2 linked regions of the Diceros bicornis minor genome follow. The protein of the gene in region 1 binds, or shares a complex with, the protein of each later gene. Links are inferred from orthologs where the notes say so. Each region holds a gene or a part of one and is shown in the gene's direction. Other genes may lie near its edges.

Region 1 (16,302 bases):
TTTTTTGCTGAGGAAGAACAGCCCTGAGCTAACATCCGTGCCCATCTTCCTCTATCTTGTATGTGGGACGCCACCACAGCATGGCCTGATGAGCGGTGCATAGGTCCATGCCCAGGATCTGAACCTGCGAACCCCAGGCCGCCGAAGGAGAGCCAGCGAACTTAACCACTATGCCACGGGGCAGGCCCGAGATCTTTGTACACAGGTAAAAACGCCTGTGTTTCCATGTTTATGAGTTGCCTATGGCTTTCCATAGCTCATTCTTCTGTAGGATTTTTGGTTTCTTAGCTCTCTATTTTTGGAAACTTGTTTTCTGGGCTGTGATATCAGCTGCAGATATTTTTCTCGGTTTGCTATTCTCATGCCTAGTTTGCTTATGATGATTGGCCATGTAAAGACTTTTTATTTTTATGTTATCAGGTTTATCTATTTTTTCCTTTTTGCCTTTGGATTTTGAGTCACAGTCCTGAAAGTTTTCCTCACTCCTAAGTTGAAAAGAATTTACCCATATATTGATTCAGTACTCACAGAGTTTCATTTTTCATAATTATATGTCCTATCCATTTGGAAGTTTCCTTGGTGTGTGGTCTGGGGAATGAATCCAATGTTATCCTTTCCATATGGCTGTGCAGTTACTCCAACACTGCTTTTTAACAGTCCTTCTTTTCCAATCTTCTAAAAGGCTGTTTTTATCTTATACTAAATTTTCATACGTCATTGGATCTATTTCTGGATTTTCTATTCTGTCTCGTTGACTTGTCTATTAGTGAACCAGCACTATTACTTTTAGAGGATTTATGTCTTTAACAACTGTAGTCTTATATAAAATAGGCGTGACATCTATTAGGGACAAAGTCACAGCTGCTGTTCCTGTGCAATGACCTCAGCTGTAGCTGCTGGCCTCTGACAGCTCTTGGTTTCTGCCCATTTTCTGAATCTGGACCCTAGCCTTGCATCGATGCCAGGAGCCACAATATCTTGGCAAAAAATTCATATTTTGGTTTTGGTAGTCAGTGTTGGTTTCTGTTGCTTACACAAAAACGTTTACTGTAGCCCTTGCTATATACTTTTCATGATTTGTTTATCTAAATTACAGGGATGCCTTTAATAGTACGAATTATAGTCAAAGTGAGGGAAGAAGAAGGTGACACTTTGACAGTCCAGGAGATGAGTATGTGGGCAGAGCATGGGGCAGTGTGGGGCAGCTCAGGGCAGCGTGGGGCAATATTAAACAGATGAGGTCTTGGTCGTCCTTTCACCAAATAGGAAGAGAACTGTTTCTCTGTATTAAAAGTGCTGCAACCTATGAGGGCAGAAAGTGAAATTAAAATATTGGCATCTATACTTTTAGAGGAAGCATGTCAAAGATTCCCTGAGAATCATGCCCGCTCAAGGAGACTTGAGATGCCATGAGATCTCTGTACTTCCCGGTCCAGGCTTGGAACAGGAGGCAGAAGCCTCCTGACTTCCTCTGGGTTAGCTACAGGCCCAAACTTCTATCCCGAGCCAGAGTTTTCTTTCTAAAACAGAGGTGGGATATTACTCCCCTGCTTAAAATCCTCGAATGTCTCCTGTTCTTATAGCATGAAGTTAAACTTTCTTTCATGAAGGTGCTTCAACATCTGGCCTCAGCCTCAGTTTGCAAACTTGTTTCTTAACAACCCCCGTATAAAATGCGCACTTTAGTCGTAGCAGCAGTGGTAGACCTAGCTTCACAGTGGTAGTAAGAGGAGCTGTGGAGGGAAGTAGTGGTGGGGGGAGAACTATGAAACCATCACTCCTCCTCCTCTTTATACGTATTAGCTTGAGCTACTTGTGGTTTTTCTAGAACTCAACAGACCATCTCATGTTTGTACTTTTTTGCAGGGCTAGAATTCCTCCCTCTCACCTGGACGGGTGTAGCTCTGACTCACTTTCTGCCTACATCCTATTGCAGCTCAGTCTCTTTACCTGTCTGTCTCTCCAGGTAGGAGTGAGCTCAGTTGGGATCACACTTTATTAATTGTTCAATATAGTGCTAAGTGAATGAATACGAATCCCTCAGTTAGCAGTATGGCAAACAGCTTTCTTTCTTTTCTTTTTTTTTTTTGTGAGGAAGATCAGCCCTGAGCTAACATCCACGCTAATCCTCCTCTTTTTGCTGAGGAAGACTGGCTCTGAGCTAACATCTATTGCCAATCCTCCTCGTTTTTTTTTCCCCCAAAGCCCCAGTAGATAATTGTATGTCATAGTTGCACATCCCTCTAGTTGCTGTATGTGGGATACGGCCTCAGCATGGCTGGAGAAGCCGTGCGTCGGTGCGTACCTGGGATCCAAACCCGGGCTGCCAGTAGCGGAGTGCGCACACTTAACCACTAAGCCACGGGGCAGGCCCAAACAGCTTTCTTTCTATGTCTAGTAGGATTTTCTGCAATGATGGAAATGTTCTGTACCTGCATTGTCCAATAAAGTAGCCACTAGCCACATATGGCTATTGAGTACTTGAAATGTGGCTACTGTGACTGAGTATTCAAATTACATCAAATTGATGTAATTTTAATTAATCTAAATTTAAATAGTCATATGTTTTCTTTTCTTACTTTTTACTTAACTTCCACCATTTCCTGGACCCCCTTGTCATTTATACTTAGGCTTAAATATTTGCTAGATTAAGGTGATTCAAAATAAAAATGTATGTGGTAAGTTTGCAGTGAAAAACCCAAGTAAAAATATTTTTTGTCTAAATGTTTTAACAGATTGGATTCCATCCTAACTTTTACAGAAGTCATTCAGTATAACAGTATACTTAATTCAATGAAATCACTTATTTCTGATATTTTAAGTCTGTTATAAGTAATGCATTATTTTAAAATGGTTTATAATAGAATTCAAAGTGAGCTTTTGTGCTAAAAAATTTGGGGATGTCATTCTCCACTTACATGGCTTCTGCAAGAGGAATATTAGGACAGATTTCTATACTCACATGAGGGGGATCATTTTACTCAACTTTAGAATTTATGACAATCTCTTTAAGTGTTGAAGATCCCAGTACTCGTGTAGCTGAACTCCAGGACTCTGTCCATTTTTGAGCATTTATTGAATCACTTAAAGATGGAAAGAATCCCAAGAATAAGATCTCTAGATGATAAAACTGCTTTATCAAATCCTATAGGCATATTGAAGGAATCTTGTTCTTAAACTTATTTAAATTCCATCTCTGGGGTTGGGGAAGGGAGTCTCTATTTGTGTGAAACTCTTCTTGTGAATCTGATCTGCGTCCATGGCTAAGAACCACCCTACAGGAGTTTGCTGAGGTGGGTGGACAGGGAATTTGAAGCTACTAGATATACAAAGGAACCAGGTTCATCTTCCAGGAGCACAGATTTTTCTCAGAGGATTAAGAAATCCAAAACATGATTTTGTATTAAAACAAATTAGCATAAATTATGAAACAAATGGCAAACTTCAAGATAAAACAGAGACATGAAACAAACACCAACAACATTCACCTTGTTGACTTGGGCCTCAGGTTATTCCCCAAGACTTCACTCTCCCTGGCTCCACTGGAAGAGTTTGGAAACATAGCTACCATATACAGCTTCCAGAATAAGAAGTAAGAATGGTCTTTTGACATGATATTTTAATTCCAAATTTGGCAAATAGAGTCTGTCTCAACTTCTCATCACCCTTCTTTTAAACTTTATGCAGCTGTTAGATGAACTGGTGGCATGTCCTCACACCAGAACCAAAACAATATTCTCTGACTCGATGATCTTATCCCTTCATGCTGATAAGGAGCAGCGGATATAGCACAGGCTCTGGATTGGAACCCTGGTCTTGTTACTAACTCCTTGTCTCACGTCGGGTAACCTTTTCCTCTGGGCTCTTCATTTAGAAAGATGGAAGACTTGAGATGTGCACATAAAGCAGTTAGCATGGCAATGGGCACTTACTATTATTTTTTTAACTAGAAATGGCCCTAAGACACATTTGACCATGTTATTACTAGAAAATGAACATAGCATCAGTTACAGTGGTCGTAACTTATTTGTGCAAGAAAATGAGCCACTTGTAGTTTCCCACAGTCTAGAGATTCCACTCATTGCATCTCCAGAGTGTTTTAACCTGTTTTTGGGTCCTCCATATTTCCTGGAATTAGTTGCTGAATCTCAGACTTGGATTCTAGGGCCTTGATGAGATTCCTGCCCCCTGTCTTTGGTGTGACTGCCTCATAATTGTGGTATGTTTTCCCATCAGGAAGCACAGGACACCTGCTTATCTCTTTCTTAATGATGTTAGTGACTGTTGATGATCCATACCTGGATCCAAACTCATTAAAAGTTGCAAAATGGTGAAATTCTAACTACCTCAGACTTTTTATATGTATTAGCTGAAATATTTCTATAAAGAGAAAGTTCCTTCATCTACTATTTGGTTACCCAGTGGTATTTTCATTCTTCACACATTTCAATTCAGTATATACACATTGAATGTATATATCAATACCCATCAATACACATTAGAACTTCAAAGGATTTTCAAATTAATCTAATTGAACACTTTATTTTATGGATGCAGAAACAGGCCCAAAGAGGCTAAATTAGTTTTCTGATTTCTAAAAGCTCACTGGTAGTTATCAGAATCCCAACAGGAAACAGGATCCTTTGAGGTGGGTTTATTTACAAAAAGACTAATTGCAAAGGTGTGGAGGGCGTACAGGGAAGCCTCAAGGGCTTCTGCAGGAACTTGGGGCTAGCGGCTTCAGAGCTGTCATCATTTCTAGGTGCCAAACAACAAGGTGAGGGACAGTTATGAGATCTTGTAAGAAAGTGAGTCCTGCGGGATCTGCCACCTTAGAAGACCAATGACTTTCTGTTGAGGAACAAGCAGCCTGAGGTGACTCAGAGTCACAGTCTCCTTCCTGCTTCAGATCCTCTGCCTGGACTCCCCACTGACCAAACCTAGTTGGTAAACAGAAAGCCAGGGAGCCATTGATTTAATTCATAGAGATTAGGCTCCTGAGGCTGAGACTGGGGTTGGGAATGGAGAGTGGGTCTGGAGGGGAAATTCGGGCACAGATGGCAACGGAGGATTTGGAGTCATATTCTTGTTCCTCTTCCACCATTCTACCATGCATTCAAAGGTTTGCCGACATCCACAGATCTTGTATTTGTAGAAAGAACTGACGGCCCAGGATGATGTTAGCTTCCTCTGGAGTGAATTTTGATTCTCGAATGCCTGGAATTACCTTAATCCAATTTCAGGCTTTGAGACTTTTTCCTGACGTCTGCAGGCAGGGTTGCTGTCCATGTAAGGGTCATTTTACTGCTAGCTCACTCCTACTTCTAGGCTAGCTCATCCTTACTTTTGTCCTTTCCAGGTGTTGTCAGAAATGCAGTCCAGCCTCTCAGATGTCTAATGAGAGCCACAAAAATTGCCAGGCCAGGAGCAGCCCCAACCAAGGCACACCGTCTGGATCCCTGGCCTCTCTTCCGGAAACTGGCCGGGTAGATCGTCCTTATCTCATTAGTTCTTTGATGCCTTTATTTTAAATTTTGTCCAGCATTCTTAGTCTTCTTCAGTGAGAGGGTTGATGAGAATTACCTAATCTGTCATAATCAGAAGCAGAAGTCTCTCCCTTTTATTTCTCCAGCTCTTTTGTTACGAAAATTCTTTGTCCTACCTGCAGGTGTTCTCAAGGTGTCCCAAGGTCCATCTCTAAGTGGACGTGGGAGGGACTCTGAGTGAGAATATAGTCCTGACCAGTAGACTTCAGTTCTGCTGCCATGCCTTTTTAATGTGGGAGCGCCTTAGGAGCAAGAGAAGCAGTCTTTCAGCATTGCATTGGGGTTTGGGTGCCAGTAATCGATAAAATCTTTAAAGTTATTAAATCAATTCAAAGTAAAACAAAGCAAATAAAGTAAAATGAACATAAAGATTGTGTATGGAAAGTGGCTCTGAAAAGACCTGGAAGGGAAGCAAAGGTGAAATGGTCTACAGAGTTACGGTTTTTTAGAAAATAGCTTTATGTATAATCTTAGATCTTATTTGTGTAGTAAAATGCTATTTGAGAATTTAGGCATTTAAGTCTTCTAGACATAGTCCTAATGAATTTCCAGTGTTTATTGTTTTGGGTTAGTATGGGGTGGAGGGTTATCTACTCCCACAGGAGTTGGAGATCTGACAAGTTGTCGGGAATATTAGAAGGTGTGTATCTATAGTAGCCCATCAACATTGTTCAGTGTGATCACTGATCCACTACACATCTACTTTCCTAATGACACCCAGTCCAAAGGCAGCTGTGGATCACGGAGATTCCAGCTGACACGTAGAGGAGCAAGTTACTTACTGTAAATTTACCTCTATCCTTTTACAAGCCTTGAGAAAAAGCTGTCACTTTGCTTTGTGGAGGATACAGTTGTGCAGCTGCGAGGGGTTTTCCACATTACCATTTCCTTCCTTCTTTTAACTCTTCACTACTCAACTGTTTTATCCTCCGTTTCCCCCAAGCTTGAATGTAATTTGCATTCTTCTTCTACCGTTTTCACAGAACTCATTAATCTTGCTTCCTGAGGATGGGAAGTCCAGACCTGGTACTTTATTATATTGCATCTTTCACTGGTTTTCCGAAAGTTATAGCATTCTGGGGAAGTTCTCTGAGAACTTACACATCTGTTTTTGCCCCGCATATAAGTAGATACTTTTTGATCTCTCTTAAGCCATCCAGGCATTTTATTTTTCTTGTGGTGCAATTTAAAAGATAGAATAATTCACTTAATCTCCCTCCTTCCTCTGGCAGATAATGATTTGCCAAGTCCCAGTCTTCCATCTCGGGAAAGCATGTGGCGGTGGAGGGGAGTTTTTAGAACCTAAAGGAGCATGCTAACTCGGTCGGCAGCTGGAGCTAACCGATTCCTCCTTGGTGACAGCACCGCTGTTGGAGACTTCAAAATGGAAAGTACCAGGGGCAGACCTGATCCGCTTCGCCTGCCCTGCCGGGCGCCCCTGTCCCCCCTCAGCCACCCTCCCGCTCCGGCCCCGGCCCGGGCCCGGCGGGCATCCCCCCGGCGCGTCCTCCCGCGCCCCGCGGAGCCGAGCGCACCACCGCGCGTCGCGGGCAGACTTTGGCGCGCTCCGTCGTGCGTGCGCCCGGGCGTTCGCGCTCCACCGCTGAGGTGGCAGCGGCGCGCGTCGGGCCGGCCCGCGCTCCCCGCAGCGCCCCCCACGGGCGGGCCGGCGCGCGGAGCCCGACGAGGGGGCGGTCGGAAGCGGGGCCGGCGCGAGCGGCCGCGGGAGCCGAGCGGGCGAGGCGGCCGGGCGGCGGGAGAGCGCGGCCGGAGGAGGAGGAGGAGGAGGAGGAGGAAGTGGCGCGGGGCGGCGGGGCGGGCCGTCGGGCGGCAGGTAGCTCCCCCGAGGGCGCACGGGCAGGGCCGCCCGCGCTCCCACCGCACCCTCACCCGCGGCGGCGGCGGCCACGGAGGCGCCGAGGAGGGGCGAGCGGCCGCCGGGCGGCGGCGTCCCCGCGGCGGAGAGGGCGCCCGAGAGGCGGCGGCGGCGCGGCGCGGAGGGCGGGACGCGCGATGGCAGCCGCGTAGCCCGGCGCGCGCGGAGCAGCCCCGAGCTGTGGCCGGCCCGGCGGCGCGGCGGCGCGGGGGCCATGAGCGGCGAGGCGGCCGAGGGCCTCACCTTCTCCGTGCCGCCCCTCGCGCCCCCGGGCCTCTGCGCGCTGGCCGAGGGCGGCCGGCGGGGGGCGGCGGCCGAGGGCCAGGACAGCCCGCTCGCGCCGCCGCCGCCGCCGGGCAGCTTCTGGAACGTGGAGGGCGCCGCGCCGGGCCCCGCGTGCGCGAGCGGCGCCCCCCGGAGCCGGGGCAGCGCGGGCGGCGGCCGGCGGACCACGGTGGCCTATGTGATCAACGAGGCGAGCCTGGGGCCGCTGGCGGCGGCGGAGAGCGAGGCCCTGCAGAGCCTGCGGGAGGCGTGCGAGGCGGCGGGCGCCGCCCTGGAGACCCTGCACTTCGGGAAGCTGGACTTCGGGGAGACGGCGGTGCTGGACCGCTTCTACAACGCAGGTGCGTGTGCGCCCCGGGTCGGGGCCGAGCCCCCGGCCGCCGCGGGGGAGACGCTTCTCCGGGCAGCCGGCGTGCTTCCTCCTTCTCACTCTTGCCCCGCTCCCGGCGCTGCCCGCTGCTCCCGGCCCCGCTCCTGGGGAGGGGGGTGCCGGTGCACGGGCCCCGGGGGAGAGGGAGGGGGTGCCGGTGCACGGGCCTCGGGTGCCCTGCGGGACCCGCGACCGCCGCGCGGGGCTCCCCCACAGAACTCTTGTCCTCGGCGCGCGCACATGCCCCGGTCTGTCCTCCGTCCAGTGTGGTGCCTTCCCTTCCTTCAGGGTGGCCCGTGTTTCCTTCTGGACGCGCCTGTGACCGCTTTAGGTCACGTTCTCGTTCTCTCGGGGTAGTTTTGGAAGAACAGACACCGTGACTGATGCCGCGGAGCCGGCTGCACGCGGAGTGTGTCTGTGAATCTGCAGGTCCTGTCATGATCTTCCCAGCTCACTTTACCTTGAGCTCAGTGGCTTGAACTTCCCATCTCTTACCAATTCGAAGTTTCAAGTCGTCACTTCCAAAAGTCACTTACACTAAGGCTGTGTGGTAACTCTATTAAGACTTCGGTGAAAGAACCAGGTCTGTTTTTTATTACCCCATATCCCTTGTTGGGCTGAAAAGTGTTTAATTTAACATTGTTGAAAACGCGAATGTGCTATTGGCCATTAAAGTGATTGCTAGCATAATGTATGAAAAAAGTGTATCTTTTCATCCTATGACAGATTTCAGGGTGTTACTGCAATTCTAGTGACTGAAGCAGTTAGCTCTCTGTTAGCAAATGTAAGGAATAATGATGTGTTATTGAAACTAACCCTTAGCACTCTGTGCAACCAATATTGAGAATATGTGCATATTTATTAAGTGTGGGGGGGAAAATTTGATTTAATGGTGGCTTCAAACAATAAGGTTCTTGCACTTGTGATCACGTAAAAGGTTTTATATTCCAGTCCGGTTTCAGTTCTGATTCTCCTCAGTCTCTCCAGAATACCTGAAGTAGGCTTATGTCAGTTTTGGAATTCAGCCAAAGCTGAATATTTTAAGAACAAGAACTTCTTCATGCTAAGGAAGCCAGACTAAATAAACTAGGACTTTCTGGTTCTGCTGTTTTTTTACAGACTTGGTCTTCATAACTGAACAGGAGTAGAATATATTATGGCTTGGTTCTTTGCGTAGCTTGCTATAAAAATTGCATAAGCATAACTTTTCTAAAAATTACAGCACTCTTTATTTTTGGATTATAACTTGGAAGAAGCTTCAAAGAACTGAAAGATACGTGAGGAAAACACCCAGCTGAGTACTGGGCCTATTTTTATTGCACTGATAGATTGGGTATTTTTTATAGGGTTCTATAGAAAAATCTTAAACGCTGAGCTACTTTGAAAGAAAGTTTCCTAACAAGGCTCACTTAGGGTTTATTCTCCAAGTACTATCTCTGGGAAAGGGAGAGAAAAAGATTAGAAGGGACCAGACATTTGAACTGTATCTCATTTAATTCTCCAAATGAGCCTGTAATGGAAATACTTACTCTCCTTCTAAGGTGAGAAAACCAAGGGATCCACAACCGGCCCTGGGACTCAGAGGTCATAACTAGTCAATACAGGATTCCGCTTCAGGAGCTGACCCTAAAAGGTCATGCTCTGCCCTTGCTGCCTCCCTTCAGCTGGGCTGATTTACTCTCAGAATCAAGGGAAAGTCTCTATCTTGGATCATGTGACGCAGAGCTGGCAGGGACCTTGTGAGCCATGTAGGTGCAGTGTGGAATCGAGGGGAGGACACGCTCCGGGAAGGCCTGTGTTTCTGGGCCAGCTCTGTCCCATCCCATTGCTTTGCTCAGCCGCTCAGGCTCCAGTTGAACCCTGCCTGCGTGAGTGACATGAGCTTGGAGCCCTCTCCTTCTGCGTGAAGATGTGATGAATGAAGATGATATGTTTTGTCCGAACCCCTTATTTTTCTAAACTGACGTCCTCCCAGCTTGAAGGTAGTAGAACTTGTCTTCCTAAAACAGTGCTTGCTCCTACTCCACCGGGGTTGTGCAAATTTTCCTGTGAAGGGCCAGATGGTAAATATTTTAGACTCTTCGTGAGGTCTCTCCACAACTACTCAGTTCGGCCATTGTTACTGGGGAGCAGCCATTAACTGTACCTAAACAGATGATTGTGGCTGTATTCCAATAAAACTTTATTTTTTTTAATTTTTATTTATTTATTTATTTTTGTGAGGAAGATTGGCTCTGAGGTAACATCTGTTGCCAATCTTCCTCTTTTTGCTTGAGGAAGATTGTCGCTGAGCTAACATCTGTGCCAGTCTTCCTCTATTTGGTATGTGGGATGCCACCACAGCATGACTTGATGAGCGGTGAGTAGATCCGCGCCCAAGATCCGAACCAGCGAACCCTGGGCCGCCGAAGTGGAGTGCAGAACTTAACTACTACACCACTGGGCTGGCCCCAGAACTTTATTAATGGACACTGAAGTTTGAATTTCATATAATTCACAAGATATTATTATTTTTATTTTTTTCCCAATCATTTAAAAATGTAGAAGCTGTTCTTAGCTTGCAAGCCATACAAAAACAGGCGTGGCAGGATTTTGGCCCCTGGGCCATGCTGACCTTTGCTCTGCATCCACTGCCCCCACTTGTAAGTTGAATCAGGATGATGTGGTGGGACGAACACTGTCCCGCAGGTTCAGTTGGAGTTTCCATCCTGGCTCTGCTCTGAACCACGTAATTGTGAGCAAGGCCCTTTGCCTCCTGCAGAGGCCTGTAAAACTGACCAGGGGTGGAAGTGGAGGGGAAATTGAAGTAAACTTCTTATATTCCCAGATTTACTCCTGTAAGTCTGCAAAGGTAAGGCAGCCTGGCACGCTGGGACAGAGCTTTGGAACAAGTTTCAAGATCTGGATTCTGGTCCTGGTTCTCTAATATGGAACAAGTCATTTAAAATCTCAGAAAATAGTGGAGGGGTGGAATAATTGGTGTCTCAGATTCCCTCCAGCTCTCAAATTCTGTACTTTAAAATTGCAACATTATTAATACAGAAGGAATCATTTCAGTCCATAGGGATGGATGAACTGCTTGTGTATATCATGTTCCGGCCCCAGACGTTGAGAGTTGATGGGGAGGGCTGGCTGTAGCGAGGCCTTTGTGAGGGTCCGCACAGAGCGCCCTGGGCTCCCAGGAAAAAGCCTCTAGAATCAACATCGGGAGGTGGGTTCAGAGGTGACCCCTACACTGAGACAGAGGGATAACAAGGACCCCAACATTGAAAAGGGAGTGTTGATGTTGGAATAGCTCCACTTAATGGAATGGATAAGAACTCAAAGCTGGTTACATTTTTATAGGCTTCCCTGTCTACGTGTCCTGGAGTCTTTTTAAAGAATAGATTGCAGCCAAAGGTTTTCACTTATTTTCCCTGTTTATTGTGTAACTGTAATCTAGTTTCTTCCCTGACTACACTTGTCATTTTTTTTTCATTCCCGTTCTGAGGGGAAACTACTATTGTCACAGCTTTTATGAAGATTCTTTATATTTACATATACAAAAGCATCATTCCCTCCCCAGGCCCCTGCATGGTAGGCAGTCAGTTTCCATAAAAGCCAAGAGATGTCAGGGATACAGAGCTACTCCTTTCAGGTAGACAGACCCAAGGTAGAAGCGTCTCATAAACATTTTTTTAGTGAACACCAGTTCTGTGAAGTATAGCAGGAAGAGGCTTGATTATTCCCCCATTTTGCTCATGGGAAAACTGAAAGTAAAGAGGTTATATTCATTCTTTCGGGTTAAATGATTTAAGGTTGCTTCTTGGAACCAGGAACACACGTCTCCTTAGAAACAGTGTTATAAATGGTGGTTGGATTCTGGGAATAGCCTGTGAGAAGCTTGTTAACTCAGTGTACGCGAAGTGTGAAACCCATTCTTTAAACATTCAGGAAAATTAAGTTCCTGAAACCTGACACCGAGACTTTGAATGCACCTTTCCTCGTGTTAGACTCAGCAACTTTTGCTTTCATCTAGCTTCTGGTAGCATCTAGACCAGACGTAGGAGTTTCACTTTGGATTGAAGGTGAGGAGAGGAGGAGGTGCTGTGGTGAGGTCGGGAGGAAGGAGGGATGCTGGGCAGGGAGAGGAAGGATGCTCGAGGAGGAGGGAGCAATGCCAGCAGGGAATCTAGTAACACTTTCTCCCCTTTCAACTTTCTTCCCCTCCCGACCTTCTGCTTATGGCCTTGACTTCCTGCTGATGTGAGACCCAGGGACACTGCTCTCCTCAAGGCCACCTCACTGGCTCTCGGTGGTCACGGGATGGTGGGCACGGGATGAGAACAGCCGCCCACTTCCCCTTTCCCTGCTGCAAGGCACTGTGTCCATCTGCCTGGGTGTTCCCTTAGCCAGGCTCGCTGCAGATTGCAAGCTCTTACCAGCCTTGGCCCTGTAGCAATAGTGGGTAACAGGAAGGAAGCATACACTGGCTGAAATCTTGAGAACTTAGCTTTTATATTTTCATCTCTGTTACGTTCCCGCTTTACTTGGGCTTGTGATGAAAGTCAGCCATTTAGGCCATGTCCCTGGAGAGGCGCTGGAACTTCCTGGGCTTTGGTTCCACTTGCTTCGGCACGGCTCCTTAGGACTCCAGTCTTATTGACGACAGACCAAAACAAGCATCACCCTTGTCTCCTGTCTGTCCCCGGCTGAGAAGTTCTGAAAGTCTTCCAGCCCACTTCTGCATTTTCTGCTTTTAAATCCAGTGAGCTTTCCTGTGTGCCATCTCAGATACTTAGAGGGAGAGGGTGAAGTCAGCATTTTCTGAACAGTGGTTCCCATGAACTAGTTTAAAAAAATTTGAAGACCAACGTGTTTGTCAACATTTTATTTTTCCGAGTAAGGATAGTAGAAAGAGAGAGAGAATTCGACAACTGGCCGTCTGCTGCCGTGATTTCTCAAAAAGGAAAAGATATTTTTATGTTAGATTAGGGAAGGCATAACCTTAGAATAAGGAATAGCTCTTTGCATACAGTTACTGTGTGGAAGAACTCATTGTTGAGGATTCTTTTTCTCATTTCAGCATGGATGAGTGAAAGCTTTATCCTGCTGGTCAGCGGAGCCGTGTTGAGGACCTCTGGTCATACCACTCACAGCCCTTCCCTTCTTCCAGTCACTTCTTCACACGAGAAACAGACCTCAGCAAAATAGCAAACGTGGACAAACTCATCAGGAGAAAGTCTAGTTAGGAGAGATTTAAAGAAATACTCCTGTGGTGCTCTGTGCATGGTTTTCTTTGGGCTTTTGACTTTTTGCTGGCACACCATTGGAGCACCTGTGCCCACCCCCTGTGAACCCGGAGCACTGTGCTTCCTTTTGCTTTCTTTTTTTTGGTGAGGAAGATTGGCCCTGAGCTAGCATCTGTGCCAGTCTTCCTCTATTTTGTATGTGGGACACCACCACAGCATGGCTTGATGAGTGGTGTAGGTCCATGCCTGGGATCCAAACCCTCGAACCCCAGGCCGTTATGAACTGAACCACTACACCACCAGGCTGACCCCTCCTCTTGATTTCTTGGAGGCAAAATTGTAATTTCCCAGAAAGAGCTTTACTAGGAGATTGACAAAAAGCAAAACTAAAAAGAAAACTTCAAAGCACAAGAATGAATTTGTTTTTAGAGCACCCGTTTCTTACCCCAAATAGTCAACTGCAGATTGTCACGACTGGCCCTGCTTCCCAGGGTCCTGGGATCCTGATTTCTCTGCTCAATTTGGTCGCCTTTGGTCTGCTTGACATTCGTCAGTTGGTAGTTTAAGTTGGCTCCACCTCCAGTAAAGCCTAATTATAAGTGCACAGCGTGGCCTCGTCTCACCAGTGGCCTTGGCTGGTGCCAGCTTTCTGGGAGTTCTCTGCTCCAGGTCAGTTCCCCTCTGGTAGCTGCAGGGACTGTCCCCTGCTTCCTGTTTTGGAGGCCAGTTCCTGTTTCTGGTTTGCAGGAGAAAATTGGTTCACAGCTTCTTTGTGGAGCAATGGGAGATTGACAGGCACAAAAGCCCACTGAATGCACAGGTCTCCACCGACAGGTTCCAGCTGTTTCTGCTTTCCAACTGGTTGCCCCAAGTGGTCCCTTCAGACACCACCCCACTCTGCCTGGGGCAAGGTGAGAGTTGAGGATGTGGTAAAGCCGTGGGGGTGGGCAGGGGTGCAGGAACGCACAGCCCTGTGGGTATCAGGAGGAACCCAGGACCCTGTAGCCTTGAGAAAGGTATATCTTGGAAACAGCCTGGCTGTCCCATCATTTGGATATAGATAAGTGGGGAAACTGGCTATATTTAAGAAAGATACCCTTATTTTCAGGGAGCAAAATTAAATTTGCAAATTTTATTAGTAGCATTAAAGAAAAAAAAAGGAAAGCAAAGCAAAATTATAAATTATTTGAAAATTCACTGGTGATTCTAACACATTGGCTTCTTTAGTTGTGTTAATATACTGGCTTTTCTCTCTGGCTGGAGATGTTGATGCTGATCAAAATGTGTACCAGATTACTGGAGAAGGAGAAGGGGTATGAGACAAAACTGGTTTTTGAAGTCTCATCTAATTATTCCAAAAATTTTAAAAGTGAGTACTTACCTCTTATGTGAGTTTTATTTTGTAGATTTTTTCCAAAGCAAAACATAAAAACTAACATACATAACCTGGTCTACGTTGTGGTAATTTTCTTAGGGGAGACAGAAGGGAGGAGAGAAAATGTAAATATTAGCAGCATCTCCTACTGAAAATCGTAGCAGAGCAGGTCTGTGTAGCTGAAATGCCACAGAAATTGCACAAGGTAACAACAAACACTGCATTCCAGGGGACCTTTTCTGTTTCAATAGGTAATCCACAATGAGGAAAGCAATTGCCTTTGGTATATGATTCATACAGGAAGGAAGTTATATTCCTTGTATAGCAAGTCTCTGCTTATGGTTGTGACCAGTGATATCAGTGTTTTCCAACCCTTCAGTCTCTTCTAAGAACTCGTAAGAAACAGAAACCTGGGGAGAACCGCCCTAGTGACTGTCAGGCCATCTGTCCGCTGACTCCAAACCATTCAAACCAAGTATTTGCCTATGCCAGAGAATTCGTCCTCCTTGAAAAGTCTTGGTTACCCCTATTTCTTATTTAAAAATCATCCAAGGAGAATAAGTACACCCAGCCTATTCCATGTCACATGCCTCTTAATCGCACACTCAAGTTTTCTGATATGGTGAATGTGACAAATGTCAGCTTAGAGCTTAAGCAGCCAGGACCAGGCGGGCGAGTCCTGCTGTCCAGAGGCTGTGGCTTTTACCTCCAGCAAGGTGTTTTCCAATTCATAGTTTGGTCCTGTGCGGGCACAGGTGATTTTATGTGGCTACATCAGAGTGATGATATAAATGAATGTTGTTCTGTGGAGTGTAGTACTCTTTTGATCATCTTATTAGCACCATAAAATAAATAGATGTGGCCATGTCATCGTCTATATTTGATAGTTGAGGAAACTCCTCCTTGGAGAGGGTATGTGACCTGGCTAGAATAGATCAAGTGGTGGAGTAGGAGTCGAACTCGGGTCTTCTAACTTCCAAGTAATCCAGGTGTGTTTTCCCCCTGTGGTGAAAAACATTTCAAAGCACATATGCTGTTTAAGAGGGTCAGTTTTAACATCTTGGTCCATGCTGGTAGCCTTATTATGAGGGAGAGTCACGGTGGTGTCACTTAACTTCTGGTCCCCTCTTGCAAACAAATTTTAGTGACTTCTTGTTAACAGTCTTGTAAAATAATCCATCAGAAAGCTGACTTTGACATTTTTCTTTCGGTACCAAAGAGGAAGCCTGCAGCCAAGGCCGAGGCTGGTTGCCAGTTGCATGGCCCGTAGCTGTGAATTGGGCTTTCTCTGGGCAAGTCTGAGGCTCTTTTCTGGGCAGGGTGGTCAGAGGCACTGCCAAGGTGGTGGTAGACCAAGCCTTTCTCCAGAGTGAGCCAGAGAGCTGGGTTGACAGCACAGCTGGGAGCATCCCTTTTCTCGGTTCCCTGAGAAATTCTGCCTCCTGCGTCCAGTTTGCTTTCCATTGATGTTCTAGCGTATTCTCAGTCATTCAGTTCCGTAGACATTTGTTAATTACTGATGATAAGACAAAAGTCAGGAGAAACTGCCTGTGCTCCTCATCCTTCCCCACCCGGCTCATTTTTTCTTAAAAACGTTTTTTAAGTTATGACACATTTCA
Region 2 (16,428 bases), on another chromosome or scaffold:
TTTTTTAAAAAATAGTATTCTGTGTATTTATTATTTTACAAAAGAATGTCCAACAAGGAGCAAAATTGCAAGTAGTCAACTGTGCAAAAATAGTATATAGTGCTTAAGTATAAATGGGACTTTAAAAAACATACTTAAACACAACTTGAGGTCCTACAAAGAAAACATTTAAACTAAATACACTGCTGGTGGGAGTGCAAACTGGTGCAGCCACTATGGAAAACAGTATGGAGATTCCTCAAAAAAGCAAGGATAGAACTACCATATGATCCAGTTATTCCACTGTTGGGTATTTATCCAAAGAACTTGAAAACACCAATTTGCAAAGGTACATGCACCCCTGTGTTCATTGCAGCGTTATTCACAATAGCCAAGACTTGGAAGCAACCTAAGTGCCCATCAAGGGACGAATGGATAAAGAAGATGTGGTATATATACACAATGGAATACTACTCAGCCATAAGAAACAATGAAATCCAGCCATTTGTGACAACATGGATGGACATTGAGGGTATAATGCAAAGTGAAATAAGTCAGAGGGAGAAGGTCAAATACCGTATGATTTCCTTCATTAAGTAGTAGATAATAACAACAATAAACAAACACATAGGGACAGAGATTGGATTGGTGGTTACCAAAGGGGAAGGGGGGAGGGAGCAGGGTGAAAGGGATAATTCGGTACATGTGTGTGGTGATGGGTTGTAATTAGTATTTTGGTGGTGAACATGATGTAATCTATGCAGAAATAGAAGTACAATGATGTACACCAGAAATTTTTACAATGTTATAAACCAATAAAAAAAAAATAGTGGTCATTGTCAGAAGACAAAAAATAAATAAATAAATAAACTAAATGGCTTCTAGATCTGCTTAGCTTGGGCTTCATCCTCTGTGGTCCTATAATGATGATTGCTCTCCAACCCCCCCACCACTGAAATGATGAATATACAGACTCATCCGTTCTAATGATCAAATGTGATCACGAGTCTCCTTCTCTATATCTTTCTATACACATGTCTACAGACGTGATGTCCTGGTTAAAAAGAAAATGGGACTTTCTCAGTGGTCAGTGTGGTACATATTCTCATGAGTCTCCTGGTTCCCATTTCTAGTTAGATTGCACTTAGATGATTTTTTTCAATTGGTCATACAGAATGAGCATTCCACCAATGCCTCTGAGAACATTGGACCATGAACCCTTGATAAAGGCTTTTCCACATTCATCTCTGAAAATCACCCACCCAGTACATATGAAGGTCCCATTGCACATGATATCAGTTCTTTGTGACTAGATTGCATCATCACCATGCTGGCCATCCAATTTGGTGATTTTCACAAGACAGTCTTCTAGGCCTTTCAATTTTCTTTCTTTTTTTTTTTTTTCAAACAAAAGGTCTTACATATGTATTACTAAACCAACCTACTAGTGCAGAAGCATAGAAAAAAAGAGAAAAATCATTTTCCGAATAAAACGTGTCCAGATAGTGGTGATGTTTTCACCTTGATATGGTAAGATGCAAGTGACCTTGATACAGCACAAATATGTGTGCCATCTTATGTGCAATTCCTCACAGACCCAGCTTGGTTTTCTCCAATGTCTCCCCATGGAGTTGTAAATAGAATAAACTGATTTTATTACCACTTTTCATCTGAATCCTTTGGGGAATGGAACAATTCTGCTTCTGTTTTTTGGCCGGGAGTTGCTTGAATTTGAAAGTCTTATGAGAAGGTATGGCAAGGAACAGAGTCAACTGCACACGCTTGATGGTGGAGAAAGGGAGAGAGAGCTGAGTTTTCTTTCCTTGACAGATTTACCAATATTCGTTGTCAAATGGCAGTCTGAGTAGAAAAAGCTGAAAGAAGTGACTCCTGATGTATCACAAGAGGCCAGATAGTCAGCAAAAAGTAGCTCTCAAACTAGATGTGCTTGTCTACTCATCCTAAGAATACCTGCTTAAACTTAACCTTAAAGACAAAGTTAATGGCTTGATTGGGGCTATATGTGATGATTTTTCCCATGTTGCCCCTCTAGGAGAGAATCCACTTCCCCTTGGGAAATTAGACTATATAATCCCATATGTCTTTATATTGTTTGTCAGCAGCAAAGGTTTTACAAATATGCTGTATCTCTGGAATGTGAGACCATTGGGCATCTGTCATTTCAAGACTGTTATATAAATGAAATCATACAGCACGTAACTTTGGCTTTTTGTTTTGATTCAGCATAATTCCCTTGAGATCCATTCAAGTCGTTGCGTGTATCAATAGCTTGTTCCTTTTTATTGCTGAGTAGTATTCCATGATGTGAATGTACCACAGTTTGTTTAACCATTCACCTGTTGAAGGACATCTGGGTTGTTTCCAGTTTTTAGCTGCTACAAATAAAGCTGTTATGAATATCATGTGTAGGTTCTTGTGTTTTCATTTTTTCTGGGATAAATGTCCAAGAGTGTGATTGCTGGGTTGTATGGTAAGTGCATGTTTAGTTTTAAGAAACTGCAAACTATATTCCAGAATGGTTGCAACATTTTACCTTCCCACCAGCAATGTATGAGTGATCCAGTTTCTCTGCATCCTCAGCAGCGTTTGGTGTTGTCACAATTTTTTATTTTAGCTCTTTTGATATGTATGCAGTGGTATCTCACTGTGGTTTTAATTTGCATTTCACAAGTGGCTAATGACATTGAATCTTTTCATGTATTTATTTTCCATCCCCATATCCTATTTTATGAAATATCTCTTCATGTCTTTTGCCCATTTTCTATTGGATTAGTTTTTTTAACTAAACGTTGAGTTTTGAGAGTTTTAAAGCATACTTTAGGGCAGGCCCCGTGGCTTAGCGGTTAAGTGCACGAGCTCCGCTGCTGGTGGCCTGGGTTTGGATCCCGGGCGCGCACCGACGCACCGCTTCTCCAGCCATGCTGAGGCCTCGTCCCACATACAGCAACTAGAAGGATGTGCAGCTATGACATACAACTATCTACTGGGGCTTTGGGGGAAAAAATATGATAAAATTATAAACAAAACAAAACAAAACAAAAAAAACATACTTTACACTGTAGGCCTTTCAGATATGTGGTTTCAATATTTTCTCCCTGTCTGTAGCTTGTCTTTTCATCCTTTTCAAATGGGCTTTCACAGAACAAAAGTTCTTAATTTTAAAGCCTAATTTACAAATTTTTTTTGTTCTGTGGATTGTGATTTTATTAGCATCAACATATATCTTCTGAACTTGTCATTGTCTCCCTAGGATAAATTTCTAAAGTGACCTTGAGGAAGGATTTTAAGTGTGATACAAAAGCTATACATCGTAAAGGGAAAGATTGGTATAGTTAATTATATACAAAATTTAAAGCTTCTATATAGTAATTGATAAAAAATAAAATTTAAAAGACAAATACTAGCTAGCAAAAAAGTTAAAACATATATATCAAAAGATTAATGTCCTTAATATCTAAAGAGCTCTTGTAAATGCACAAGAAAGAACTGTATTAGGTCTAATTTGTTGCATGATATAGAAAATATAATTAAGAATAGATTAAGCCAACTTCTGCTTCTACCCATGGGGGATTATGTGGTACAGACTTGTCCTCCCGATATAAACAACTAGAAAGCTGGACAAAATATACGAAACAACTCTTTCCAGACATTGAGACAACAAGCAGTGCAGGACTTTGATCCCCAGGAGAAGGGAAACAAACGTGCAAGAACCCTGTGGTCACTCAAATTTTTGTCTAGATGTCAATTCAGTACTATGACACGAGGAGGAGCAACTTGACTGGGTGCTGCTTTGAAAAGAAAATCTCTAAAATACATTTTTAGGGATAATTGGGGAAATATTAATGTGAACTGAAAATTAGACGGCATTAGTGAATTATTGTTAATTTTCGTAGTTGTGGTAATAGATCTTGGGTTATGTTGAAAATGTCCTTAATTTTAGGAGAGACATGCCGAAGTATTTAGGGTGAAGCGATATGCTGTTTGCAACTTACTTTCACATAGTTTATCGCAAAAAACAGAGCCACTGAGCCCATATAGGTCAGTGAAATACGGCAGAAGTTTACCAGTGATTAAATCCGGAGGGTGTGTACAAAGATCATCATAACAGTCCTTCAATTTTTCAGTATCATAAATTTTCTTTATAATTTGTGTGTGTGGGGGGAGGAGTGTCATTTTTATTCCCCCTTCCTCCTTCCTGCTGGCTGGAATGCAGACATGATGGCTAAAGCTCAAACAGTCTTTTTTTTTTTTTTTTAACTCACAACTGCCTTTTAAAAAATAACAGCTTTATTGAGACATAATTCAGATAGTATATAGTTCTCCTATTTAAAGTGTACAATTCAATGGCTTTTAGCATATTCACAGAGTTGTGCAAGCACCACCAGATCAATTTTAGAATATTTCCTTCACCCCTCCCCCAACAAAAAACCCCTTATACATATTAGCAGTAACTTCCCATTTTCCTTCAACCCCCAGCACAGTTGTAGGCAACTGCTGCTCTACTTTCTATCTCTACGCGTTTGCCTATTCTGAACAATTCATATAAGTGGAATCATACAATATATGATCTTTTGTGACTGGCTTCTTTCAGTTAACATAATGTTTTCAAGGTTCATCCATGATGTAGCATGTATCAGTACTTCATTCCTTTTTATGACTGAATAATAGTTGATTGTAATATTTTGTTTATCCATTCATCAGGTGGTAGACATTTGGATTGTTTTCACTTTTTTGCTAGTATGAATAATGCCGCTATGAATTTTTGTGTACAAGTTCTTATGTGGACACATGTTTTCATTTCTCTTGGAGTGGAATTGCTGGGCCATATGGTAACTATGTTAACATTTTGAGGCACTGCAAAACTGTTTTCCACAGAGGCTGCACCGTTTGGCATTCCCATCAGCAATGTATGAGGGTTCCAATTTCTTCACATCCTCACCAATACTAGTTATTACCTATCTTTTTGATATAGCCATCCTAATGGGTGTGAAGTGGAATCTCATTGTGATTTTAATTTGCATTTTCCTGAAGGCTAATGATATTAAGCATCTTTTCTTGTGCTCATTAGCTGTTTGTATATCTTCTTTGGAGAAATGTCTATTCAGATAATTTGCACAGTTTTAGTTATTTGCCTTTTTATTATTGAGTTATCAGTTGTTTATATATTCTAGATACAAGTCCCTAATCAGGTATATGATTTTCAAATATTTTCTCCCATCCTGTAAGTTGCCTTTTCCCTTTCTTGACAGTGTCCTCTTAAGCAGAAAAAATGTCTAATTTTGATGAAGAACAATTTGTCTATTCTTTTCTTTGTTGCTGTGGCCTTGGTGTGATATCTAAGATACCACTGCCTAATCCAAGTTCACATAAAGAGTCATTTTGAACTATGAGGTGGGAAGCTAAAGATGGCAAAGTAGCAGGAGGGTAGAATCCTGGATTTCTGATGACTATGAAGCTGCATGCTAGCCTTAGACTGCCAAATTCTGGACTTACTTCACATGAAAGTGAGATAAATTATCTTATTTTTAAAAATCAAGAACTTCTGTTTCTTAAAATACACCACAAAATGAAAGAGTACAAGAAGATATTCGCAAACACATATAACTGACGTTGGTTTAGTATCCATAATGTATAACAAACTTCTACAAATCAATAACAGAAGACAAATAACTCGGTAGAAAAGTGGGCAATAGAAATGAGCAAGTATTTTACAGAAGAGGAAACGTGTGTGGCCAATCAACATGTGAAAAAATGCTCAACCTTTTTAGTAATCGTAGAAAAGTAAATTTCATACCCACAAAGATAATAAAATTTTAAAAGCCTGAAATATCAAATGTTATCTATGATATGGAGCACTGGGAAATCATACCCTGCTGGTGAGAATGTAAATTTGTATAATCAGTTTTGAAAACAATGCTTTGAAGATCCTTATGAAGTTAAGGACTAGTTGTAGTGGGAGTAACTGAAAAAGCAAGCTGGAAAGATGGTAGGTTGTAGTTAGAAAATGTAATGTTCGAATTTATGATTTAGGAGGCAGAGAAGTTTGTGTGATGACAAAGTACAAGGTGTGACCTTGCCAGTGGTTGGCTAACGTGGAGGAGTGTTCATTGAAGATAATAAGGTGTGTCAGCCTAGGCCCAATCAGGACAGAGAAACCACAGAGGGATTTGAACATGAAAAGTTTAACGTGAAGAATTATTAATAATAACAGGAGATAGGAGTAAGAGGGATTGAGTAGTAAGAAGTAAAGGGAACTCTAAAAGAATATAGGAATAACAGATATAATATATAGTAGCAGACAATATAAAAATAATATATAATAGTCACTACCCCTGAAGCTGTGATAACCCTCCTCTCTACCCGTGGCTGAGATCCAGGCCTTGTTAGAGAAGTTGCTGTAATGCCAAGTCAGTGGAACTTGCTGGACATCCACCCTCTGGATCTTGTTGAAAACGTGCCTCTCTAGGGTGCTGGTTTCCTGTTCACAGGGTGGGTGTCTCACCAGAGACATTTTGCTGCAGAACCACCCAAGCGTGGTGCCAGGGGCAGGTGTTACCTGCTGTGCATTGAGGAAAACAATGCTGCAGAAGATGAGCACTAGGAAAGCTGGGAGCTGGTCGGAGCCTGTGGAGTGAGCACACAGGAAACAGGAAGTGAAACCCCTTCTTCCTGCAATGTCTCTCCACTGCCAGCTACTGATAAATCTGCATATCCTGCTAGCTGGCCAAGTAAAACGTATTTAAAGGCCCCAGGTCCCTTTTCACAGAACAAGCATAAAGAGGGGCTGAGAGGTAATACATCAATTACCCATAGAGGAGGTCAAGGAACTGAGTGGTCATGATGTTGGACTGTTGTACTTGTGGTTATTGAAATGACCCAGGTGTTGGCAAAAATTGAGGTGGAGTGGAAGGTTATAAACCAACTTGTTTCTCCACGTGTGACCTTGGTCCACCTGCCTCAGAATCAAGTGGGATACTTTAATAATACAGATTCCTTTGCCCTGTTGCAGATCTTCTGAACTAGGACTTTGGGGAATAGAGCCCCCAAATCTTTTTAACAGATGTTCAGTAGATTTAAAATTTTAAAAATCCATTATGAATATTTCAGACACATAAAAGGAAAGAAAATAGTATAACTGGTACCAATGTACCCAGCAACCAGTTTTAACAAATATTAACATTTACCTCACTTCCTGTAGATCTCTTTATTTTTAATAAACTGTTACCTATTTTGGCTCAAGTTCCACTCTCATTCTTTTCTCCTTCCTTTCTCACAAGAGGATTATTTTTGTACATTGTTGTTTGTAAATCACTGCTTTAGGTGACGGAGAGTCTGAGGATTTTTGAGCAGGGGTATTACACTATCAAGAGGTACGGAGCACACAACTGTGCTCTGCCAGAGAGTTCATTAGGATGAGAAGATGGAGGTGGGAAAGCCAGTGAGTGAGGGGGCAGGTTTAGTGGCCCAGGGTGTATGGTACTAAGAATCGGAAGTCAAGTGACTGGCCTTTTCTCTTTTTCTCGTGCTCTTGTGTGGAGCCTGCTACTTGTTGTGTCACTGTGACCTCTAGTCTTTCCACCCCCCACCCTATTCCCCCAGTTCAGCCCCTCTTTTCCATCATCACTTGCTTCCCTATGCAGCCTGGGTTCCACGGTTAGTCATTTCACCCAAATGCTTGCTACTGTCCTGAAATCCCTTGCTCTCTTGACATTTGACCATACCAACCCCAACTTCCAATCTTTATACTAACAGGACTACTTTTTCTGCCTTGAGGAAATAACCTTGCCTTTCTGGTTTCACTTTATTACTTATAGTAATTTGTTATAGTCAGTGTCCAAAATGAGACAGATTTTCATCCAGGTGACCTCACTGGGCTCAAGCCTATTTTGGACTAGGCTGGGCTCCTGAAATTACCCAGGCTTTGTTCTTCACTAGAAAACGTAAATGATACTGCAATAATACTGCCAGATTTGTTTGTCTGTAGAGTACAATTTTGATGAGAAATTGTGAAAACTGTCCAAATGACATACAAAAATGTGTTTAAGTAGGTCTGACTTGGGAATTTCATTTATCCACAAATAGATCTTATATTTTTTTCTATTACATAGATTTGGTCACAGGTCAAAAGTCAATTACAACTTTTGATTGACCATTCTTATTTTGCCTATACATATAATTACATCAAACCAAACATTTAGATGTCAAATCCTCGTTATAGAACTACTAATAGACACAACAACATAAATCAATCTCAAAATGATAATGTTGAGTGAAAGAAGCCAGGTAAAAGAAATTACCATACTGCATGCTTCCGTTTATATAAGATTCTAGAAAATGCAAACTAATCTATAGGGACTGAAAGCAGATTGGTGGTGGCCTGGGCTTTGAGGGGAAGGGAGGGAAGAAGGGATTGAAAGGGCACAAGGGCACTTTTGGGGATGATGGAAAGGTTTATCTGGAGTGTGTGTATGTGTACGTGTGATTGTATCCCAGATGTATACATATGTCAAAATTCACTAGGGCCGGCCCTGTGGCTTAGCGGTTAGGTGCTCGCACTCTGCTGCTGGCGACCCGGGTTCGGATCCCGGGCATGCACCGACACACCGCTTCTCTGGCCATGCTGAGGCCGCGTCCCACATACAGCAACTAGAAAGATGTGCAGCTATGACATGCAACTATCTACTGGGGCTTTGGGAAAAAAAAAATAAATAAAATTATAAAAAAAAATTCACTAAATCATACATTTTAAATATGTGCAGTTTATTATGTGTCAATTATACCTCAATAAATAAAAAATCATTAGCAAGGAAAAAGTGTTTATTTTCAGCCATTAAAACAAACAAAAAATCCTTCTTATAATCAAGTAGTGCCTGTACCCAGAAGACCGTATGAGTACATTCATTCATTCATTCATTCAACATTTTTGAACATCGACTGTATACCAGGCACTCTGCTGGGAACAGTATTAAACAGGACAGATAAGACCCCTGCTCTAGGGAGGTTACATTCTGGTGGAGGAGACACATCAACAAGTAGTAATAGTAAAGCGTGATAAGTGTTATGACAGGGCAAGAAGGGGAAGCTTTGCAAACATTTAGCAGGATTATCTAAGCTGATTATTTGGTAGTAGATGCCTAAAGCTGTGTTGAAGAGAATTCTGAAGCTTAGCAGGATCCCATGCATAAGGAGGGGCAGTGATGGTGAGTACCATGCCTTTGCCAAGCTAAGGCTATGCTGTTCAAGTTGCCCTTATCATAGATTTCCTAATAGTATGAGTATTTCAACTGGTTATGAAAGTGTTTGAGAATAGTGAAGATCTCTTGTTATAGACCAGTTTTTTTTCAGAGCAGCATTTTTGACTCAAAGTGTTTCTTGTTGGGGAAACATCAACCTTCCAGACTGTAGTGTAGACAGAGGACAAGTGCTCTTTTATTCTCTAAAGTTCTGTTTTCAAGTGTTTTTTACCCGCTTATATGACTGTGTCTGAGCCTTTGCTAAGGGTATTGCAGCTGGATTGTGTAGTGGAACCATGTCCAGAAAAAGAATTGCTAAAGAATGCAAGTAAACAGGATGTCAGATGTTATCCTTAGCCTATTTCCCTAAACATAGCTTTTTGGCTGCAAAGTAAAATGCCACTCTTCTAGCTTCTGCTTATACACAGTGATGGCTGACAGCAGGCACAATCTTCATTTGCTTGGCATGTTGTCACCATGCAACTCAACGTGTTTTGCAAGGAATGATCGTGATACACCATCTCCGTGAGACAGTATGAAGACATCCGGCCGTTTCTTGGAAGAACTTTCTCAGCCTACCTTCTTTGAGCCTTGTTGTGCCAGCACAGCTCCCTACGAGGCTCGAATCTGCCTGACCTAAGAGCCAGTTGGCATCTTGCTCTTGACAGAAGCCAGCTTTTCACTGGGGCTAGACTATTTATTGACAGCGTTTTCCCCGACTGGCCCATGAGTGGCTCATTTCTAAGGTCCTCTGAAGTGCTGGCTCACCTCTGTTTTCCAAGAGCACTTGCTTCCTTCTCTCTCCTCCCTCCCCAGCATCCTCCCCACTTCCTTCCCTTACAGCTTCTTGCACTGTTGGGGTTTTGTGTGTGTGTGTGTGTGTGTGTGTGTGTGCTTCTTCTTTTTTATCCTAACGAATTTGTTTTGCAGATTTTGAAAAAGAAAACGAGTGCTATCCATGATTTTTACATTCATTCTATTTCCACATCTTTGAATGTGATCTCTGTGGTTTTAAAATTCCATAATTTGAGTGGGTTCCACCGTTGTCTAAGAAAAGTTGTTTCAAAGCTTTGTTCTGCAAGCCCCAGAAGAGAACTCATAAAAAGGAAGACAACAGCAGATGCAATCGCGGATGTGGCTTAGTCCTTGCAGCTGCCCCTGAGAGCTGTTTGGAGCGTACAGTCCTCAGTAATGAATCCAGAAGAGCGAATCGTGACATGGCTTATATCCTTGGGAGTTTTAGATTCCCCCAAAAAGACCATCTGTGATCCGGAAGAGTTCTTGAAGTCCTCGCTGAAAAATGGTGTAGTGCTGTGCAAACTGATCAACAGACTTAGGCCTGGCTCTATAGAAAAGGTAAGGGAAATTTACAGTACCTTGAGGATTGCTTACCACCAGAGAGCAGCAATAATATAACTCTTGAGATGTTCTATTGGGCAGGTCACGGGACTCTCCTTTAATCTCTAAGAGTTAGACATTCTTTCTTACTGTTTCTTTAGTTTGAAAAAGTCAGAAAATGAAATTCTATTGTTTAGTAATTGTCCCAGAAATATCAGTGTACTAAAAACCTGATACCAGGGGACAAGAACACCCGTATCACAAGCTTGCTCTGTCACAGATATACATGTCACAGCTCCTTGTGTACCGAGGGCATGTTCTGAACTTGGGGTACATATGAGTCTGTGTAATAATGGGGTGATTTATAACAGATATTGATGGTGTTTATTGGCAATTTGACTAAAATCAATGTAGATTTTCTTCTCAAGGAGATAAAATATCCATTGAAAGAGAGACTATTTAGCAAGCAGGAAAAATAATCCAAAATGTCACATAAGCTTTGTTAAAACAATAGAAATCAAATATATGTTTCAAATGCAACATGTGTTCAAAGTGAAACTAACGTTACTCTCTTTTAAAAATCCAAAATTTTTATTGTTGAAAACCCATGATCAAAAGGCTGGATAATTTCTAAAGTAGGCACCTTAAGTAAGTTTAACTGTAGAGTCCTACAGTTATTTTCTTAAAGTCAGTGGGGACTGTGACTGTGAGCATAGTTCTTTTGCCTTCTTGAATCAGTTTGTATTTTTATTGAACAGATTTATTTACTTATAATTTCTTAAACTTGAAAAATGGTGATAAAATATTTATAAAATAGAGACAACTGTGATCAAATGTAGAGAATAGCAAAGGGGAAAATATAATTTTAATAAATTGTCATGAGGAGGAGGGAGCAAAGTAATCAATTGAAAGCAAGAACCAAGCTCAAAAAACTGTCTGGGTCTCTCTAATTTGCTATTACCACACTTGGCAAAAAGCATGAGAAAAAGTTTGTAAGTAGAGATCACTTGGGACTAAAGGTTTGGTGACATTTGAAACAAAGACCAACCGTTTAGATTTTTGCATCACTTCCTTCGGTGGTTATTTCTCTTCCTGGATTGACAGCAATGTTGCCCCTTGCCTTAAAGAGCCTACCTATCTAGTCATCAATGAATGAGAAATATGGTATGCTTGGCATGGATGACAGTCTCCAAGTGACATTTGACTATATTTCTCTAGTACTGTCTGGAGCCCCAAACCGAAGCTGACTGCATGAATAACATCAATGACTTCCTGAAAGGATGTGCGACCCTTCAAGTGGAGGTAAGCCTGCCCAGGTTGTCTTCCTCGTTGTCATCATTTTTCGCTCTGCTAATTGAGATGGTGGTATAGTAAAAGTGCTTGGTTTATTTTCATTGTTAAACAGAGGAAGCATTGTATGGAAACCATGGTTAAGATTGGTGGTCCCCAGTGGTGGTTGCTAGTTTGTCTTTTCCAGAAACCAGTTCCAAAACAAAGCAAAACAAAATCAAAACTCAAAATACGATATCTTTTAAATACAGCATCCAAGCCGTGAAAGCAGGCTTCCGGTGACAGAGCTTGTGTGGATGTGAGAGCAGGCTTCCGGCGACAGAGCGTGTGTGGCGTGCTTCCCTACTAAGGGGAACCAAAAGTGGGCCACTGGCTGCTGCAGAGGGTCACTGCAATCCCCCTGAGTTTGGAAGAGAGGAAAGTCTATTGTCACTTTTTCCCACTTTAGAACACAGACCTTGAAATCCTGAGAGAACCTGGCCCTGAGGTGGAAATTGAATATTAAATTACATTGCATTATCTTATATTATATGCAATATACACAACATGTATAGGGGTTGTTGCTGAAAGGGAGGTGGTACTTTTGCCTGTGTGTTAAGAAGTTACTTAACTTCTCTGTGCCTCAATGTTTTTATCTGTAAAATGGACACAATTATAGCTACCTCATGAGGTTGTCTTAAGGATCAAATGAGATACTGCATAATAATTTAGGCTAAGAGCTCCAACTTCAAAAGATCTATGAGATAATGTATGTAGAGTGTTCATCACAGGACCAGGGACATAAGAAGTGCAGACTTGCGTTAGTAGTACTTTTTGTGGAGAAGTACTAGTAGTGGTTTGAGCATGGTCTCTGATGCTAGACTGCTTGGGTTCAAATCTCAGTTCTCTCTCACTAGTACCTTTGTGACCTTGGGCATGTTACTTAATTATGCCTCTATGCCTCAGTCTCCCTAACTGTAAAATGGGAATAATAGCAGCACCTATCTCATAGGATTGGTGTGTGAAATTTCAATGAATCCATGTCCTCGGAAGAGTGCCTGGCACATAGTAAGTGTTTTCCAAGTGTTAGCTATTAGTAGTAAGTAGTAGTACAAGTAGCTTTGCCCTAGATCAACTTTGCTTGCTTCAGAATTTTTCCTCAAGTTAGCCAGAGCATCAGGCTATGCACGTCTCAGAATATTTTATTCTGGGTTTCCCTATTGCCTAATTATAGCTCTGTGTGTGTGTGTGTGTGTGTGTGTGCGCACGCGTGTGCGCACATGTATGTGCATGGGCACGTGTATGTGTGCATAGGCACGTGTGCGTATGGCTTTTGAGGTAGGTGTACCCCGAGACCACTCTATATCCATTACAGAATGATATGTATTACAAACAGATCATGGTATTTTCTTTTTTTATTTGTCAAATAAAAACATGGTGAAGTTGCCAACAATTTCTGCACTCTGAAGCTGCCAGAAGGTATGCTGAGCTTCTTTGCAGTTCTAAGAATACTAGATGATACAGAAACACCTCCTGGGTCTGGAATTGTTGGAGAATGAGTCGTTTCACAAAAGTGGATTTTTCTGATAACTAATGCTTACTACTTTAAGCAACAATGCTTAAGATATTTTTATCTATTTTGGATATAAATCTTTCTAAAAAGTATGTCGTAATTTTCATTTTTTAAATAAAAGGCATTGGGCATATTTTTTATTATTTTTTGATAATTAAGGCTGGCCTGAACATTGTATGAATATTGTAATAAGGCAATCTCTGGCATCACGGTTAACCACATACCTTCTCTAGTTTCACAGACTTGGGTTAGAGTCTTGGCGTGGTCAGTTACTGACTGTGTGACTATGGGAAACGTTACTTGGCCTCTCTATGCTCCAGTATTCTCATCTATATAATGCAGACATTAGTGATATCTACTGCATACAATTGTTTTAAGGATCAAACGAGATAACGCATCTAAGGTACTTATATAGAACTGCACATAAGACATGCATAATAGCTGCTTGATGTTACTGCAATTATTAGGTAGTATTGTATGCAAAATTATGCCTGTATTGGGAGCTATATTGAGGCACTCCTAGAACCCTGAGGGAAGTCAATAAAATCAATACATAAGGAATGAGACTGAAAGCTGAGCTGGGTGCACCCAGCAGCCAAGAATACTGACCATCCAGTCTCAAGCTCCTGGGTAGCTAAGAGACAGACCTAAACACATATATTTGAAAATTTTAAAAAATTATTTTTTATTGAATATATTTGACATATAACATTGTGTAAATTTAAGGTGCACAACGTGTTCCTTTGATACATTTATATATTGTAATATGATTGCCATTGTAGCAATATTGATCACATTACATAATTATAGTACAATATTGTTGTCTATAGTCACTATACCGTGCGTTACATCACTGTGACTTATTTACTAGTCGTGCAAGTTTGTACACTTAAACAACATCAATTTTTGTCCTCCCAGCCCCCATTCCCTGGGAACCACCATTCTATTCTGTTTTTTTTGAGTTTGACTTTTTGAGATTCCACATATAAGTGAAATCATACAGTACTTGTCTTTTTCTGTCTGACTTATTTCACTTAGCATAACACCCTCAAGGTCCATCCACTTTGTCACAAATGGTACAATTTTATCTTTTTTATGGCTGAGTAGTATTCCATTGCATATATATACCACATCTTTTTTTATCCATTCATCCGTTGATGGGCATTTGCGTTGTTTCCATATCTTGTCACTTTAGACAGAGTATCTCTCAGGTCTAAAGTACCTAACACAGGGGCTGGCCCCATGGCTTAGCGGTTAAGTTCACGCGCTCTGCTACTGGTGGCCCGGGTTCAGATCCCGGGCGCGCACTGACACACCGCTTCTCCAACCATGCTGAGGCCTTGTCCCACAGACAGCAACTAGAAGGATGTGCAGCTATGACATACAACTATCTACTGGGGCTTTGGGGAAAAAAAAAAAGAGGAGGATTGGCAATAGATGTTAGCTCAGAGCCGGTCTTCCTCAGCAAAAAGAGGAGGATGAGCATGGATGTTAGCTCAGGGCTGATCTTCCTCACAAAAAAAATAAAAATAAAAAAAAATAAAGTACCTAACACAGTGCCTACTATAGGACATGCTGAATAGATTTTTGTTGATGCCATAAAACTGTTAACGTACAAAAAGCAAGAAGAGCAGGGCTTGACTATTGCCCAAAACACACTATCATTTATCTGAAGAAAGAGTGCCGGCTTGAAATGGTCGGTTTGGAAATGCAGAAAAATGAAGCCAGGGATGCAGCAGCACACAGACGATTTGAGTATCAACTGTGGGGCGTGGTGACCGTGTTAAAGGGCCGTTGTCTTCTGACCCTTTAGGTGCCCAGTTGGCCTCTATCTCTGTGTTCTCATAGGACTATAGTGTCCTAGGGTCTCTAGAGATCACACAACTTGCAACTGGTCAGGGAAGTCTGCTGAGACACCTGGGGAGAAAAGCACTCTCTAAAGTGCTTCCCCAACTTGGACAATACCCTTAGAAACACAAAGGTTTTTAAAATTTTGATGAAGTCAAATTCCTCTATTTTTCTTTTGTTGCTTGTGTTTGGGTATCATATCTAAGAAACCATTGCTTAAAGCAAGGTCATGAAAATTTACGCCTATGTTTTCTTTTAAGAGTGTTATAGTTTTAGCTCTTACATTTAGGTCTTTGATCCATTTTGAGTTAATTTTTGTATATAATGTGAGGTATGGGTCCGAATTCGTTCTTTTACATATGGATATCCAGTTGTCTGAAAGCCATTTGTGGAAAATCCTATTCTTTCTCCCACTGAATCAATTAATGTAGCAAGAGTCCTCCAATTTTGTTCTTCATTTTTAAAATCATTTTGGCTCTTCTGGATCCCTTGTGTGCCCCTATGGATTTTAGGATCAATCTGTCCATTTCTGCCAAAAAGCAAGCTGGAATTTTGATAGGGATTGTGTTATCTGTATATCACTTTGGGGAGTATTGCCATCTTAACAATATTAAGTCTTCTGATCCGTGAATGCAGCATGTCTATCCATTTATTTATTTCCATTTATGTCTTTTTAAATATCATTCAACAATATTTTGTAGTTTCAGTGTACATGCCTTGTACCTCCTTGGTTCAATTTATTCCCAAGTATTTTATTCTTTTTGATACTATTGTAAATGAAATTTTCTTAACTCCATATTTGGATTGTTCATTGCAAGTGTATGGAAATACAATTGATTTTTATATATTGATCTTGTATCCTTCAACTTTGCTGAACTTGTTCATTAGTTTTAATAGTTTTTTTTTTTTTTGCTTCCTTGTGGTTTTCTTGTACAAGATCTGTACATATGTATATCTGTGCAAAGAGACAGTGTTACCTCTTCCTTTCCAATTTGGATGCCTTTTATTTCATTTTCTTGCCTAATTTGCCTGGCTAGAGCATTCAGTACAATGTTGAATAGAAGTGACGAGAGTGCACATCCTAGTCTTGTTTTTGTATTAGGGAGAAGGTTTCAGTCTTTCACTATTAAGTATGATGTTAGCTGTGGGTTTTTCATAGATGCCCTT

The links.
Region 2: MAP3K5 (region 1) and ARHGEF6 share a complex: the UniProt entries of both Homo sapiens proteins name them as parts of the cytoplasmic complex. The link is inferred for Diceros bicornis minor from reciprocal best matches to the Homo sapiens genes MAP3K5 and ARHGEF6.

What each region holds. Positions count from the first base shown.
Region 1 is NC_080762.1:1,822,882-1,839,183, forward strand, and holds the start of MAP3K5 (mitogen-activated protein kinase kinase kinase 5), read left to right. Parts: upstream 1-7,394; 5' UTR 7,395-7,636; coding exon 7,637-8,048; intron 8,049-16,302. UniProt on the Homo sapiens protein: Serine/threonine kinase which acts as an essential component of the MAP kinase signal transduction pathway. Plays an important role in the cascades of cellular responses evoked by changes in the environment.
Region 2 is NC_080781.1:124,406,026-124,422,453, reverse strand, and holds the start of ARHGEF6 (rho guanine nucleotide exchange factor 6), read left to right. Parts: upstream 1-10,367; 5' UTR 10,368-10,424; coding exon 10,425-10,589; intron 10,590-11,789; coding exon 11,790-11,873; intron 11,874-16,428. UniProt on the Homo sapiens protein: Acts as a RAC1 guanine nucleotide exchange factor (GEF).